Linked DNA regions of Oreochromis niloticus. The protein of the gene in region 2 binds, or shares a complex with, the protein of the main gene of each other region. Links are inferred from orthologs where the notes say so. Each region holds a gene or a part of one and is shown on either strand. Other genes may lie near its edges.

Evidence for each region. Proteins that work in one complex are often made in the same cells at the same time.
Region 1: the proteins of pigs (region 2) and pigu are in contact, whole or in part, in a cryo-EM structure (PDB 8IMX), measured with the Homo sapiens proteins. The link is inferred for Oreochromis niloticus from reciprocal best matches to the Homo sapiens genes PIGS and PIGU. Residues at the interface, in NP_149975.1 of Homo sapiens: Ala4, Gly5, Ala8, Thr9, Glu12, Arg15, Arg18, Ala19, Phe22, Phe23, Val26, Leu30, Leu34, Trp35, Thr38, Thr39, Leu510, Leu511, Phe513, Ile521, Tyr522, Leu525, Phe526; in NP_536724.1 of Homo sapiens: Gln118, Phe282, Glu283, His284, Phe285, Leu287, Phe288, Phe289, Cys291, Val292, Phe293, Ile295, Phe299, Tyr300, Ile302, Pro303, Ile306, Lys307, Lys309, Glu310, Thr417, His418.

The regions. Positions count from the first base shown.
Region 1 is NC_031970.2:5,252,250-5,260,033, reverse strand, and holds the start of pigu (phosphatidylinositol glycan anchor biosynthesis class U protein), read right to left. Parts: upstream 3,095-7,784; 5' UTR 3,038-3,094; coding exon 2,908-3,037; intron 1,494-2,907; coding exon 1,429-1,493; intron 495-1,428; coding exon 435-494; intron 1-434. Other genes in the region: psmf1 (proteasome inhibitor PI31 subunit), read left to right, coding at 4,806-4,934, 6,155-6,307, 6,965-7,047, 7,412-7,609. UniProt on the Homo sapiens protein: Component of the glycosylphosphatidylinositol-anchor (GPI-anchor) transamidase (GPI-T) complex that catalyzes the formation of the linkage between a proprotein and a GPI-anchor and participates in GPI anchored protein biosynthesis.
Region 2 is NC_031975.2:13,898,320-13,905,275, forward strand, and holds the start of pigs (GPI transamidase component PIG-S), read right to left. Parts: upstream 3,094-6,956; 5' UTR 2,951-3,093; coding exon 2,932-2,950; intron 1,634-2,931; coding exon 1,494-1,633; intron 1,382-1,493; coding exon 1,270-1,381; intron 1,186-1,269; coding exon 1,096-1,185; intron 988-1,095; coding exon 896-987; intron 686-895; coding exon 445-685; intron 368-444; coding exon 225-367; intron 141-224; coding exon 26-140; intron 1-25. Other genes in the region: aldocb (fructose-bisphosphate aldolase C-B), read right to left, coding at 6,866-6,956. UniProt on the Homo sapiens protein: Component of the glycosylphosphatidylinositol-anchor (GPI-anchor) transamidase (GPI-T) complex that catalyzes the formation of the linkage between a proprotein and a GPI-anchor and participates in GPI anchored protein biosynthesis.

The DNA.
Region 1 (7,784 bases), on a different chromosome or scaffold from region 2:
ATCCTGTGGGCATCGAACATGAGAGGACAAGCACGCTCCTGGTGTCTCTGCTGATGCCTTTGGACTTCAAAACTGTGGACTGAGACTGAAACCTGCCGTTCAGGTTCTGGGTTGTACTCGGAGAACCAGCTCTCATCAACATCTGCCTCAACAAGGTTTGTGGGAGGCTTTACAATCAATTTGATCACATTTCAGATTTTAACCACCTTCTTCTTTAGGGGTTGTCACAATCATCTGCCTCCATGTCACCAGATCCCTAACATCCTCCTTCACTACATCTATGAATCTTCTCTGTGGCCTGGCAGCTCTTGTCCAACACGCATATTCCCTATCCATCCTCTGCACAAGTCCGCTCCACCTGAGCCGTCCCTCTCCAGTAATGAGACTGCCTCCACTACAAAATGCTTCAAAATGATGTTTTTATTCAGACTCACCATAAATGTGATCTCTGCGTAGTCCACCAAAAAGTGAAACATGTAGATGATGAGAGGAGTCTGAAAGGATCAGAGCAGAAGGAGAATTCAACATGAACATCTAAACATCAACATGCCTCATTTGTGGATTTTCTGCTGACTCAGATCTCAGTTGTAGAAATACACCATCTATGAGGTCCAAGCATGTAATGGAAAAATCAAGAACCAGGAGCAACTGAAACATCCGAGCATGTCTAAATAATTAAATAAGACATTTATTGTCCGTTTTCCACCAACACGGCACCCGAGCAGAGCAACTTCAGTGCTTTCTGAGAAACAGCTAAAGGTCTTTTTGGTGGAAATGCATGAAACTAGTTTTAGACTGAGCACCGGCACCTTGTTGGTGAAATGTGACATTCGAGAGGTGGTTTACAGATGCTACTCATCCTCCGAGTCTACCAACGGGCAGCCTTCTTTTGCTGATTGACTCTTGTGTTCTTTATTTAATACATTTTGTGTTTGTTGAAGTTAATTTTCTATCTCTGTGAACAAAGTTTGATGCGTTGACTTTTGGGCACCCCGATCTCGCTCTGGATGTTTTAGAGTATCGTGCCCTCCCCTCTTAGAAATCTTCGGTCCAGCCATGGCCCGACTCTGAGGAAGCCCCTCCTCCCTCAGAAGATCTGACTCTGACACTTTCACTTTGTTCTGATGATGCAGTTCTCACTATTACAATGCTGCTCAGTAAGCAAAGTTTTCACCTGGGTGTTACCTGAATGCTGCTTCAATGGAAATCTGACGTTTTGTAGAAAGAAGTTAAAGTTCCCTTCCACTGTGATGGTTCACCACGAAATGAGCAGAATCTGGAATGTTTCGTCTTTGTTTTCCAGACCATCTCCTTCTAATTTTCTGATTATTTTCAGGTTCATGTAACAAATATAACCTTCAATGTTCACACACACTTTGTAATAGGTGTGTGTGTGTGTGTGTGTGTGAGTGAGAGAGAGGGATTCACCTCATGGAAAACATCTCCAGAATATGGTGAAACTCCCAAATCAAGCAGAGCCAAACCTTCAACAACTGCAGAGAAACAGCAACAGAGAAACAGTTTTATTAAGACTGCTTGATTACAATAAAAATCACAACCACAATTATTTTGGTGACTATGGAAAATGTTTATTTTTGCATTTATGGAACTTCAACTTGGTGAATTTGGTCTGACATTTCGAGAGTGAAGCTACATTTTAAACCATTTTCACTCTATTCCACTATCATTAGAAGCCAAAATCATAAATGATGTTAAAATCTCCAACTTTTATTATTTTTTACCAGCACTGGGCTGTTATCTTTGAATGCCTCCTCTTGAAAGTAGCAGTTCCACAGCTTCCAGTTACAACTGCCTAATGAAAAATGCATGAAATGTTTCTGTGTGAGTCTCACAGCATGTTGGTCATGTTTTCTGTTTTACAGAAAAAGCTCAGATTGTCTGCAAACCTGCACCTCTGGCTCCTGTCAGGTACTGTGTCATCATATGCTAAATGGAAACTTAAACACTGTCCACTAACATTTCACAAATTCATCTAAAACAAAACCTTTGTCTGTGGTAACTAATGGAAAGCTGATATAAATATGTCAAATAATAAAGTCAAATCAGCGAGTGCCTCCCACTGTGAACCAGTTGATTTTTTTTGTACATTAATTATTTTCAGATATTTACTGGCCATCGAAGCACATGGGGTGGGGGTATGTGCATTTTCTCCATCACTTTGAGCCCTCATAACTCAACGATTACAGAAGAGGTAGTCAGTTGCTAAGGGTCAATTAACCAATTATTCATGGGGGTGTATATATATATTTTAGCCTGTTTGTATACTTTTGTCCAAATTAGGGTGTCTGCACAGTGGTGCAACTGTTAGCGCTATCACCTCACAGCAAGAAGGTCATGAAGGCAGGGGCCATGTGCCTGTTAGTGGTGATTTTAAATTGGCTGTAGCTGTGAAAATGAATTTTTAAACACTTGCTGATGTAACATTATACACACGTCAGCCAGATGTTTTACAGGTGTAACGTCTACGTTACTATGCGCAAATGACCCCGTGGAAACTAATGTGGATCACAGGAGGATTTAAAGGGGTCCACAAATACTATAGACTGTGCAGATCTTTGTTCAGCCGCTGGCAGAGACTCTGGTCGTCATTACTACTAGTGGTCGATGGATGTTTGACAGAGAAACAACCACTGAGCTCCATTCATTGGAAATAACAAAGAAACACTTGTTTAAATCTTCCCCTACAGAAAGTAAAAAGTATCCGCTGTTAGCTTAATGTCAGTAAAACATCATCAAGCTTTCTGAATTTGAATCTCAGCTGCTGATTTTCGCAGCTGAACCGGTTTGACCGAGTTACCGGATAACAGCACCGATGAGAGGGAGGTGAGGGGACCCGGACGTGAACCGACCGCAGCGGCTCCAAACCGCCGCTGGACCCGCGCTTACCTCTCTTCCAGGCGGTTATCGGCGACACCACCTCCACCCTCTCTGCAATCAGCTCCGCCAAACTGGACCGGAACAGAGCGGCACGGATCGTAACGGCCACAATCAACAGCAGAGTCAAGGGAGCCGCCATCTTGACAAGGAAGCGCTGTCCGCCCTGCGAGGTGCACGACGGGAAATGAAGTCTCCAAATGTGTAGGAAGGAGAGAAGGAACCACAAGTCCAGATAAATAAATAAATAAATAAATAAATGTACTCTAAAGCAAATGCTGGAAATTAAAGAAAAATTTATATAGAAATATGAATATCAAAAAAATAGACATACAGATAATGGGTGCATGTGTTATCTTTTTACATGTTTGCTTGATGTCAGCTGAGGATTCATTTTACATGTGAAACACACTCTGACAGACAGGACAAACACACAAAGCGGAACAATTGTTGTCCTATACTTGTTTTCATCCGGAGACTATTTGTGTTGGATCAAAACAAAAAGCCGTACACAGTGAGCCACTACGCTTCCGCTAACCGTGCGGTTATTTCAAAAACAAAATTGACTCTGTTAAAAAACATAAATTTACTTTTTTCTGATCAGGTTAGGGTTCATTAAAATAGCTTCACACAAAGAATACAATAGCAAGCATAAAAATGCCATCTGAAAATTCATCAACTGACATTTTGGGGTCAAAGATCTCAAACTTAAATGAGCTGTGGGCCACTGCTGGCACTGTCATCTCATCCGAGGGCCACTTTAGTTTTCAAGTGGTACAAAAACTAACAAACAAGAAAACACCCACAAATATCTTAGAAAATGTAGTGTTAATTTGTTCGTTTGGTTTTTTTTATTTCAAATATTGTATAAAAAGGCAAAACTGCAAACGTGAATGTATTTTTTCCCTCACTCTTCATTAACTGAAGCCTTTCATTGAACTACCAAATAAACAAATTGGTACTCTCTTTCTGGCCAGACACATGGCAGCACTTCTGCCATAATTTTGTTCATATTTGACAAAATAAAAATGCAGACATCAGTGTACACATTGGTTTTTGACTGCTAGTGAAAATTGTTAAATAACTCTCTCACTAAACCAACAAAACCAATCCCTCAACATGTTTGTACTCTCTGTTCATGTTGCCTTCATATTAAATCATTTTTAAATATATAAATATATATAAATAAATACGTTCAAGGGCCAAATTGCATTATAATTCTTCATGTCAACATATGGGCCCAAAGTAGATGTGACGTGGGTCACAAGTGGCCCCCGGCCCGCGGGTTTGAGAAATCCTACTTTAGATTAACAGTTATACAGAGGTATAGGCTCTATTAAGATGTAATGAATTAAAGTAGGGAAGATTTCAACATTATTACAGTTAACCCAAACAAAATAAAAAATAAACCCAGGTACGAGAAAAATATTTTAGTTTGGTGCATTGGTGCACATGTTTTGTAAGGCTGAGAAACGCAACACTTCATGTCTACATGACATGAAGTGTTGAGTGTGTATTTTATTACTTCGGCTAAATTTCCCTCTTACAAATACCCCCACATTATAGTCAAACTAACCCAGAAACTAAGAAAAACTAAACTGAATAAGAAAACCTAATCTGAGAGCGAATCAAAATGAAACGTAATTGAAGCTAGAAATAATAAATGAAATAGAAATAAAGAGCAATGAAAAAAGTTAATACCTCACATAATATCACTGGATATTTTTATTTGCAGATAGGTACCGTTTGGTCAGCTCTCTGGTGCTTTTAAACTGAAAAGCCGCGAAGCGGAAATGGTTCCTGTTGCTTGGCACCGAACTGCAGCTTGACTCAGTGAAGCTGCTGGCCAGACTTTCGTTTTCATTTCTTTTGCCTGAAACTGTACCGATGTTGGCAGATTGAAGGAAAACATGGCTGGCTTGGAGGTGTTGTACACCTGTGTCGCAGGTAAGATAACCTGCCCGCAGGACGCCGTTGTGTGTTTTGTTCACTGGGAGCTGGTAAAGAACGGATACAGGTGCATCGGCTCAGGAGACGAGGTGAGTTCGCTTATTTTAGCTAAATCTTGTGTTAAATTATCCCACATAATGGAGAAGATAATATTTTCTTTTTTCATCATTCTTACGCCAAATTGAGAAATACAAATTAAATATTAGCAAAAAGATTCTCTATATGTGGTTTTCGATGTTTTTCGGACCGTAATGTCCAGTAAATGCTTAAAATGTCGGTTTTTGCAGTGGAGTTCTGTATGTAATATTCAACGTAGATTAGCTATAGCTTCATAAACAAGCATCACCTCCTGTGTGAAGCCGACGTTAACGCGAAGAATTTAAAAGTGTGAAAAATGCGTTTTCGGTTTCTTTAATCCAGCTGTCATGGCTGATATTCAGTTTGACGGCATCTGGTTTAAGAGCGACAATTTACCAAAACTGTCATGTCATCTTTAGCTGGCTAACCCACTGGGGGCAGTCATCCTGAAACACCACGGGAGTTTATGACACAGATTCGTGTTAGTGTGCAGCCTTGCTATCCTCCATCCTCTCCCCATGTTCATTTTACAGAAATCAACAGGTAATCAGTAGTATTTTTTTTTTTTTTTTAAATGAAGCATTTATAATGGGATTTAACGTGAAAAGGGAAGCGTTCGGCATCTCTCTGTGATTGTTTTATATAAAATCACTCTGGAATGACACCTGCCATTTAGTAAACAGGAAGAGTAAGTGACCCACTTATAAAATGAAACATTTTTCTTTATTTTGAACATGATGATTTGGTGAAAAGGTGTTTTTTTTTCTTTAGATATAAATAATGACAAATTGTTATGCACCTAAAAAATGAACTCACTCTACTGGATTTTTATGTGTATCATTATTGTTGTTATATTTACTTTTTCCACATTAGTTTTTTATTTTATTATGTGTAATTTTTACGTTATTGACCAATTTTGTTTTGTCACATTTTAATTATAGAGTTGATCTTGTTTATGTTAGCTAGTTTTTGTCTGTTTTACTGCAGCAACACAAGAATCTGCAGTTTATTTACAATTTTTTACAACAATCTTACCTTTGTGATGAGATTAGTATATGTCATATCTAATAATAGCACATATTTCTTGCTGTATATTTTAAGTATTGTTTTGTTATTTGCAGTGAACTGGCCAAATACTGATAACAAATATTGTGAAAAGAAAAAGCAGGTTTCTGCTGCTGCTTTTAGGTTTTTATCTGTCTTCACGGCGTCTGTGACCTTCTTCCTCCAGGCCCGCAGCAGTGATAAGAAGTCCGAGCTGCTGCCTGCTGACTGGAGTAACAACAAAGAGCTATACAGTCTGCGATACAAAGCCAACAACAGTGACACCCAAATGCTCCTCAAGGCAATCACTGTTGATTCCACCTTGATCTTCAATCTGATGGTAAGCACATAAACATTTGTAGGACTGGTCTCATTAGTTTTCTAGATAATGGCAATTTAAAATAGTGCCTTAAAAATGTTGGTAGTGTGTGGGGGTTTTCTCTCTATTAATGACAACAGAAACCTGAAACTTTGCATAACTCCCCTTAAGAAGAAGAATTTTTCCTCTGGATTATTTTTTCATTGGAGAACTGACATAGACTGTGCAGTTTATCCTGCATTTCAGTCCTGATGTAGGGATCCATGAAAAGCCTTAAAAGGGATCAAGTCTGATTTTCTAAATTTGAATCTTACTGTTCAGAGCAGACATCACTGCAGCCAGGGGTGAGGTCGCAAACACTTTACTTTTAAATTTGTATTTTTTTTTCGGTCCAGTCGAGTTTGTATCGATTAAAATGTTTAGATTAGTTTAGTGTTTAGTTCAGTGCTAGTTTTAGTTTTTGTCATTCATATACAGGTCGTATTACTGCACCGTAAGACTGGAGAAATGTAGATCTATGCAAAGATCTGACACACAGTTGTGTAAACTAAGAAAATATGATTTAGGTTGAGTTTACTATTTGCTGGTTTGTTGAGATATTATTCTACATGTTAATCTATCCTTTTAATGGATCGTGTGTGTGTGTGTGTGTGTGTGTGTGTGTGTGTGTGTGTGTAGAACTCCAGCACGCAGCAGGTGTCAGACTTAACGGTGAACATCAACGACCACGTGAACACTGACCAGCTACACACATTTGACAGGTTATTTTATTGAGCTGCTCTACTTTATTAAGCTTTTATTCTATTGACTTATGTTGTTATGATTATTTTAATTGTTGTGTTACTATTTTGGATCCTGTATAAATAATAATAAAATATGCCTTGTCCTCAGCCTGCCTTATACGGTTGTCTCAGATTGACCCCACCGACTTGTTGTTCAAATCTTTTATTTGTTGGAGAAAGCCTATTATAAAAAGGTTGTCTGAAAGGGAGTTTGGCCTTGAAGGGCAGTTTGTTTGATAACTAAAGATTATTTTGCATTGTGAATCATGCTGAGCTACTCTGGTAGTCAGAAAATAAAAATATAGAGCTGGAAAATAAATAAAGTCATCTCTCTTCTCTGCAGTGTGTTCAAAGATGCAGACAGTTTGTCGGAGAAGGTGAAGACTCAGCTGCTGCCCCCCCAGGACAGACCGACAGGACAGAGAGCAGAGAGGAAGAGTCGGCGGGATGAGGAAGAAGAGGAGCAGAGAAGAAGAGGAGAGGACAGTGACCCCCTCCGCATTCCCAGCAGGAATCCTCGCCAGGGGACACACCCTCACTGGTTGGTGATGATATAAACTGTGCATGCAAAACTTTACCACAAAACTCAGATTTATTCATAAACTTATCATTAAATATGTACATTTTAGAGGCAAATATTGTCACGTGTGACACGCAGTTACATATTTGTAATTTTCCTGGTTTCTCTCTCTTTTGCATTTGTGGAAAAAAGAGGA
Region 2 (6,956 bases):
ATAATTTAAAAAAGCAGACTTTTACCAAGTCTGGCCTCCACCGGGTTGATGACATGTGCAAGACTGTCAGCGTTGAGCGTGTAAGCCTCGAGGCTGCTGTCAAAGCGCGGGGTCACTCCGAGCATGGTGTAGTACAAGGTCTGTAAAAAAGGAAAGGTTAACCTTAACTTCCAATAATTGAGCATCTTTTCTTTGTCATAATGGGGACTGCGCATTAACAGCACCTGAGAGTCGATGCTAAAGTTAGCCAGAGGGGACAGTTTTGTAAGCAAAGGCTGGATGTATGTCTGCACGGCACCCTCAATGTCCCAGTGCAGCTGGTGAGACTTTGGATCGGGGTTCAGGAGACTGAATGTGATCTCATAACCTGACAGGAAGATAAGAACAATCAGAGAAAAGATGCAAACGTGTTCTCAGAGTTAAACCTGGAGCCGAATTACCAACCTGGGCTAGATTTGAAGGCTCTCATGCTGTCAGCAATGCTCTCTTTGTTGCCAGGTCTAAAACGGACTCTGTCGCTGAGTGCAACGGTGATGTCAGTGTGGCTAAAAGACATCACTTGGAGCACCTGCTTGATCCGGGGCTCCAGCTGAGCCAGCAATTGCTCTAGTGTCTTGCCCACTCTCATCTGGGCACTGATACGCACCAGGGCTGTCCTTCGCTGACCGATATACACATTCACATCCTGAAAGGCATGAAGGTGCAGTGCATACTTTATTATCTTTGTCTTACCTGGAATATAACAGATAATTCATTCTGTTTCAAGCTTTGCAGATGGTACTGTATTTACACTCCGTGACAGTAAATTATATTATCTTCATTATCCTTTTTTTAAATAGTAATTAGCATGGAGTGATCACACTCATGAAATAAAATAAAAAAGCTTCAGTTTTACCTCAGGCAGCAAAGAAGAGGACTCCGGGATCACATACACAACTAAAGAACCGCACGGGCTCTCACTGAGCATATGCAGAGACAGATCTGCCTCTAAAGCAGAAAAATTAGCGTGATTATCAGCTGTGCTTTCTTTGAGAAAAAATGTCAAATGTCAACATCTGAAGTACCACAAGTTGGATATGATAGACTGCTGCTCACCTGCAGCAGTCGGCTTTTTCAGGGCATCTTCCTCCATGATTGTAGCTGTGCGGTACTTTGTTTCATACCTGTACCTCAACGTTGTGTCCTCTGGAAAGAAAGTTTGAGAGTCAAACAACCTTGCAGGCTTCATATTCTGTAACCGCAGAATTATAAACTGCACGAGCAAATCACCATCCACTGCATGTTCCTCATCCTGCGTCTGCGTTAGCGGGACCTTTTTCTGCTGTTCTGGCGTCACGGTGCCGCGTGCAAACACAACCTCGACATCAGCGCTCAAATGCAGCTGCAAAATAAGAAATAACGTAGAGAGAAGAATGTTTTTAAAAAGGTATTACACAGGGAAAATCAATCAACTACAAGGCATGAGAGATGTAATAAATGGAAACACTAAAAACCTGCAGTTTAGCCAGATCTTTGATCTGACTGACAGGTAACCAGGCACGGTACGTCTCAGTTGTTCGCCACCACAAAGGGACTCCCACAATGATGACAACGGCTGCTATGGATAGAGCAGCAAGCTGACCTCGTCGACGCTCTGGGAGACAAACACACAGTATTGTTGTTTGAAAGATTTTCACTGATGATAAATCTTCTAATTAATCTATCAATTAAAAACCAAGTACATTAAAAATTCAAGTATACATGTGAAATACACCCATCTTAAATTCAATAACAGCTTAATGGATTGGATTTCATATAGCGCTTTTCAAGGCACCCAAAGCGCTTTACAATGCCACTATTCATTCACTCTCACATTCATACACTTAGCTTAGTTAAAATAAATACTGTTTCACATTAAAATGACTAACTGTAACAATCGATCTATTACCAAAATAACTGCAAAAAAAAAACTTCGTTTAAACAGATAACTGACCAGTTATTTCAGCTCTAAATGCCAACATTCAAACCTAACTTGGGATTCAGGCTAAAACAAAATCAGATCATTTATATAAGCACTGGCAAACATAATCAGAGTTTACCATGGTGTTTAAACTAAAAAATACTCCATTGTTAAAAAACAAAATATTTATTTTTTATTCTCTTCTGGAAATCATTGAACAATATATTAAATATAATATATTAAAATAGGTTACACACACTCACTGGCCACTTTTTTAGTCACAATTTGACATCAACAGCATAAAAGTAGGGCTCCACCTTGTCTTGTATCAACAGTACAGGCATCTAGTGGTGTGACTGCTGTGGGGGATATGCTCTTGGCCCCTTAGCACCAACTGAGCCTCGTTTAAATACCTGAGTTATGTTGCTGACCATGTCCACAAGGGGTGGATATGGATCAAATCCAGTAGTCTCATGGTGTACCTAATAAAATGTCCGGTGACTGTATATCATGACAGAGGATTTTATCCCAATCCTTGACCCCTACGTACCCTCGATATGTCCAGACTGGTGACCACTGACTGAGTAACACATTTGCATCTGTGTCTATCATGCTGCATCAACTACAGTGCCTTACATGGTTGTAAACGAGGTTCAGTGTAAACATTAGGCATGTTACTGTCTTTTGTGGAAGCTTTAATATCGTAAGTATTCCTTTAATTAAAAATATATATTTAAAAAAACAAAACAAAAACAAATAATGTAGTAAACAGCAGGTGTTCTTGCAGTGTCAGGGCATCACCCCTGCAACTGCGGCTAGCTAGCCATTAGCTTCAAAGGGTCATAACATGGAGAAAACGGCTCCTGTTAGTCCGCTATGGTTGCACTCTGTACAAAGGTTCATGTTTAATAAATCTAACGTAAACCAATGAAAATTAAACACTTAATAAGAATTAAATCATTTACACTCATTTCAGTTACGAATCTACTCACCCACTTCCGTGATAGCCATTTCTTCCAATGAACTGGGAGGGAGCGCTAGTGGATGCCAAGCAGCCAGCAGCACCGATCACATGACCGATTTTTAAACGTATCTAAGCGGTTCTTCATGTGCGGGCCAAAACAGAACCGTGATTCATACACATAGCTTACATTAAATTAAATATGATCAAATATTTGCATATACACCTGTCTGTCCGTAAAATTCTAAAAAAGAGTGTTAGGGCTGTACGTTGTTTTGTAAAGGAGTGCAGAAGCGGAAATGACCGTCGGCGCACCCTGTAAAAGAATTAAACGCACAAACACACTGTGATAAATGTGGGCATTCAGCGCCACCTGTGGTAGCTTTAATTACGACAGGCTCAATTCATGTTTGTGAATGCATAAATTTCCCGAGCAACCACTAAAAGTGAGTAAGCTTAGTGTTATTTACACGATTAAAACATATGATCCTTAGTCTGCTGCCCCAGCAGCATGCCCGCAACATGTGGAAAAACAAGTCCACCACAGCCCTGCACTCACTCTCGCTCATGCATCCAACCACCACAGACACATTATAAAACTTCTGAAGATACCAGAAGTTCTGTCAGGTAAGGACACTAGAGGGACATCCACTTGCATCACTGTCATCTTCCTCAAGCTGTCTAGTAAAACCCTAATCTGATCTGTTAACCCTGGGATGTTTTATGGAAGTTAGCCAGGGCGCTCAAGGACACCCCAGAACAGGCAATAAGGGAGGAAACAGCTGCTCTCTCAGTTATGTATTTACCCTGATCTGATTTGTCCAGCTGGTCCTGGTGTGAAACGGATGACCTCATTACTTTTAGGTCAGCTTTGTTAAATTTGGGTGACTTGTGTGGTGACCCTTGGACACTACTGGACACCACAGATACCCTTTCATAAAGTGCTTATTTCATCTAAATAATTTTAAGAAACTGGTAGCCTCCGTACTGCTAGTGAAAATGGTAATACACATCTTTTGGACCCAACATAAGGTACACTTTAGACCTCATGAACTTTTTGGACCCCATTTTGACTTCAGAGCTGTCATAATTCTTTGTTGCATAAATTCAACAAGGTGGACATGGTCATCAGCAATACTGTTAAAGCTGTGATGTTTAAACAATAGCCAAAGTGGGCCAAGAAACTATCCTACACACCCTTACACCACCAGTTAGAACTGGTGATACAAGGCAGGATTGATCGGTGCTTATATATTGTTCATGCCAAATTCTGATCCTTTCATGTGACCATAGCAGCTGAAATCAAGACTGTCCAATTTTGGTGAGCCTGTGCCAATACAGTTTTCTCAAAACATAATATTTGCTTTCATTGTTATCCAGACGACTGTCAAGTTTATTTTCCACTGAAGCACACGGCTGAATGCTCTGTCCAGCCTCTCCACGACGGCCTTATCGATATCAGGAGATGGATGGTGATAAATCACTTGAATTTTAATGAGAACAAGATAGAAGTCACGTTGTTTAGACTCAACGACACCAGCAGCAACCCCCGCATTGACCTTTCCTCTATGGCCCCATATGAGAAATCCATTATCACTAATTTAGGAGTGACAATGGATCCTTCTCTAAAGCTCAAAGCTTATGTGAACACTGTAGTAATAGCATGCTATTTCCAATTGAGTTGACTGTCAAAGGTCAAGCCACTCTAGTCCAACCTTGAAACATTTATACTTGCATTTTATAACCTCTCGTCTCAATTACTGCAATGCACTTTTCATTGGAATCGGCCAGGCCAGTTGCTCACCTACAGCTGGTGCAAAACACTGCCGATCGATTTTTATCTGGTGCAAGGATGCAAGAGCACATCACTCCAATTTTAGCTTCCATTCACTGGCTTCCAGTTAGTTCATGAATCCATTTTAAAAATCCTTTTGTCTCTTAATGATTCTGCATCATTTTATGTCTGAGCTGTTGCACTCTTATGTCCCACCTCGTTCTCTCAGGTCAGCAGACCAGAGACTTTTGCTTGTTCTGAAGACACAACGTAAACACAGAGGTGACGGGACTTTCGAAGTTGCAGCTGCAGAATTGTGGAACGATTTTCTATATTTTTTTTTTTACCTTTTGGTCTGAGTTTGTCTTTTACATTTGGTGTTATTGTTCAACCCTGTAGTTGTTTTTAAAAGGGCTTTATAAATTCACACAGACTCACGGTCCACTGAAATAAGTTTCATCTGGTGTGGTCTTCTGCTGCTGTAGCACATGTCCTTCAAGCCACGTGATGTGTAGTGCATTCAGAGATGCTCTTCTGCATACCTTAGATATCGAGTGGTTATTTGAGTTACTGCTGCCTTTCGATCAGCTCAAAGCAGTCTGGCCAGTCTCCTCTGCCATCAAAGCATTAGCATCCAGAGAAATACTGCTCACTGGATATTTTTTCCTTGTCTTTTGGACCAGTTTGCGTAAACCCTGACCAAAGTAATATCCTACGTGCTACATTCTGATCTTTAGCTTTAACTTCAGCAGGTCATACCTACACGCCCTGAGCTGCTTCCATGCAACTGGCTAGCCAATCTGCAAGACTGAGCGCAAAACACATGAATTGGACTCAGAAAGGGGGTACATGTAGGCATATATACGCCTCCAGGAAACTGAAAATAAAGTTTAATTATGCAGATTAGTGTTGGCTATTTAATGTCAAATCATGATAAACTGATTGTGTTAAGATAATGATATCAACCAACTAAATATAGTTAAATACTCAAGATTTCTCTAAAATGTAGAGGCATTAAAGATTCTAAATAATGAAGTAGCAATATTTGACTAACATGCATAACTCTGTCATCGCCAGTATCAGGACAGGTGTAGAAAATTCCATCACACAAAAGCATCTGATGTTTTAAGGTTTTAGTTTATTTTTCTCCACTATTAGACACACCAAGTGCTTAAAGAACAGTATTAACACCACAAACGGCACAGTACTCCAACACAGCAGCGACCGTTTCCCCGCTGCTGACCCCACGCCATTGGTCCATTTAATGTGAATGTCGATAGAAACTAGTCTGGTCGTTCGGTAGGGCAGGCAGGGGGGAAATCAGGTGGGAGGATGACACACTAGCATCACATAATATTGACACCTTCACACAACTGAATACATTGATTACTGCATGTAATTTTAAGCTAATGAACAGACACACAAGGTGGTTGTTTTCAAATTCAATAATGGTGATAAGGAGCACAAGAACAAAAAAAGAGGAAGAATCCTGGTGTGTAGTGGCTTATTACAGTATAATGTGCCTGCTAACGTCTGCTAGATATACAGCTGTCTGAAAGCACAACAGAGCACTCCACGCTTTTGTTCAAAAGATCAACTCGGCTCAACATTTTCACCTCGTCTGCCCTGTCGCTCCTTAACGCATGTTCTGATGCTACTAATAAGCAGTTGGTCCCACTTGGTGTCAGTGCGGATGTTAGTAGAGCGTTTCAACAATGAACCAATGCTGTTCTGACAGAAGCGAAACACTGACACAAACATGCTGATCTGGCCTGCTTGGGAGCGATTTGATATTTTGTGTGAAGTGGGGAGAGGGGGTAAGAAAGCACCTGACATTAGAGACAAGTGTGTGAAAGAAGGAATGTGGAATGAATACTGACTAAACATTTTTGATTATCCTCCAACCGTTTAACTTCAAATTGTCTCAAAACTGTAACCGTTTGTTGAAACTGGGGGGGGAAAAAAAAAGAAAAAAAAAAATTAAAACAGACAGACGACCCAAGTCTGTTTCCTTTTAGTACTGTGATGTCACATGATGGTTTCAAATACACATATCTAATAATGTAACTTTAAGAACTCTAAAGTAAAGCAGACAGCACAGGCCTGTGATTGATGGAGGAGTGAAGAGGGGAGATAGCAGAGCAGATATAAGACTATAACTACACCACAGCTCAACGTGGTAGTTTGCCGTTTAATAGGCGTGATTAGCCACGTAGAGGGACTGGGCTGCGGCGGTGCCACTTCCGGAAGACTCGTACTTGCCGAGTGCAGCCAGACCGTTA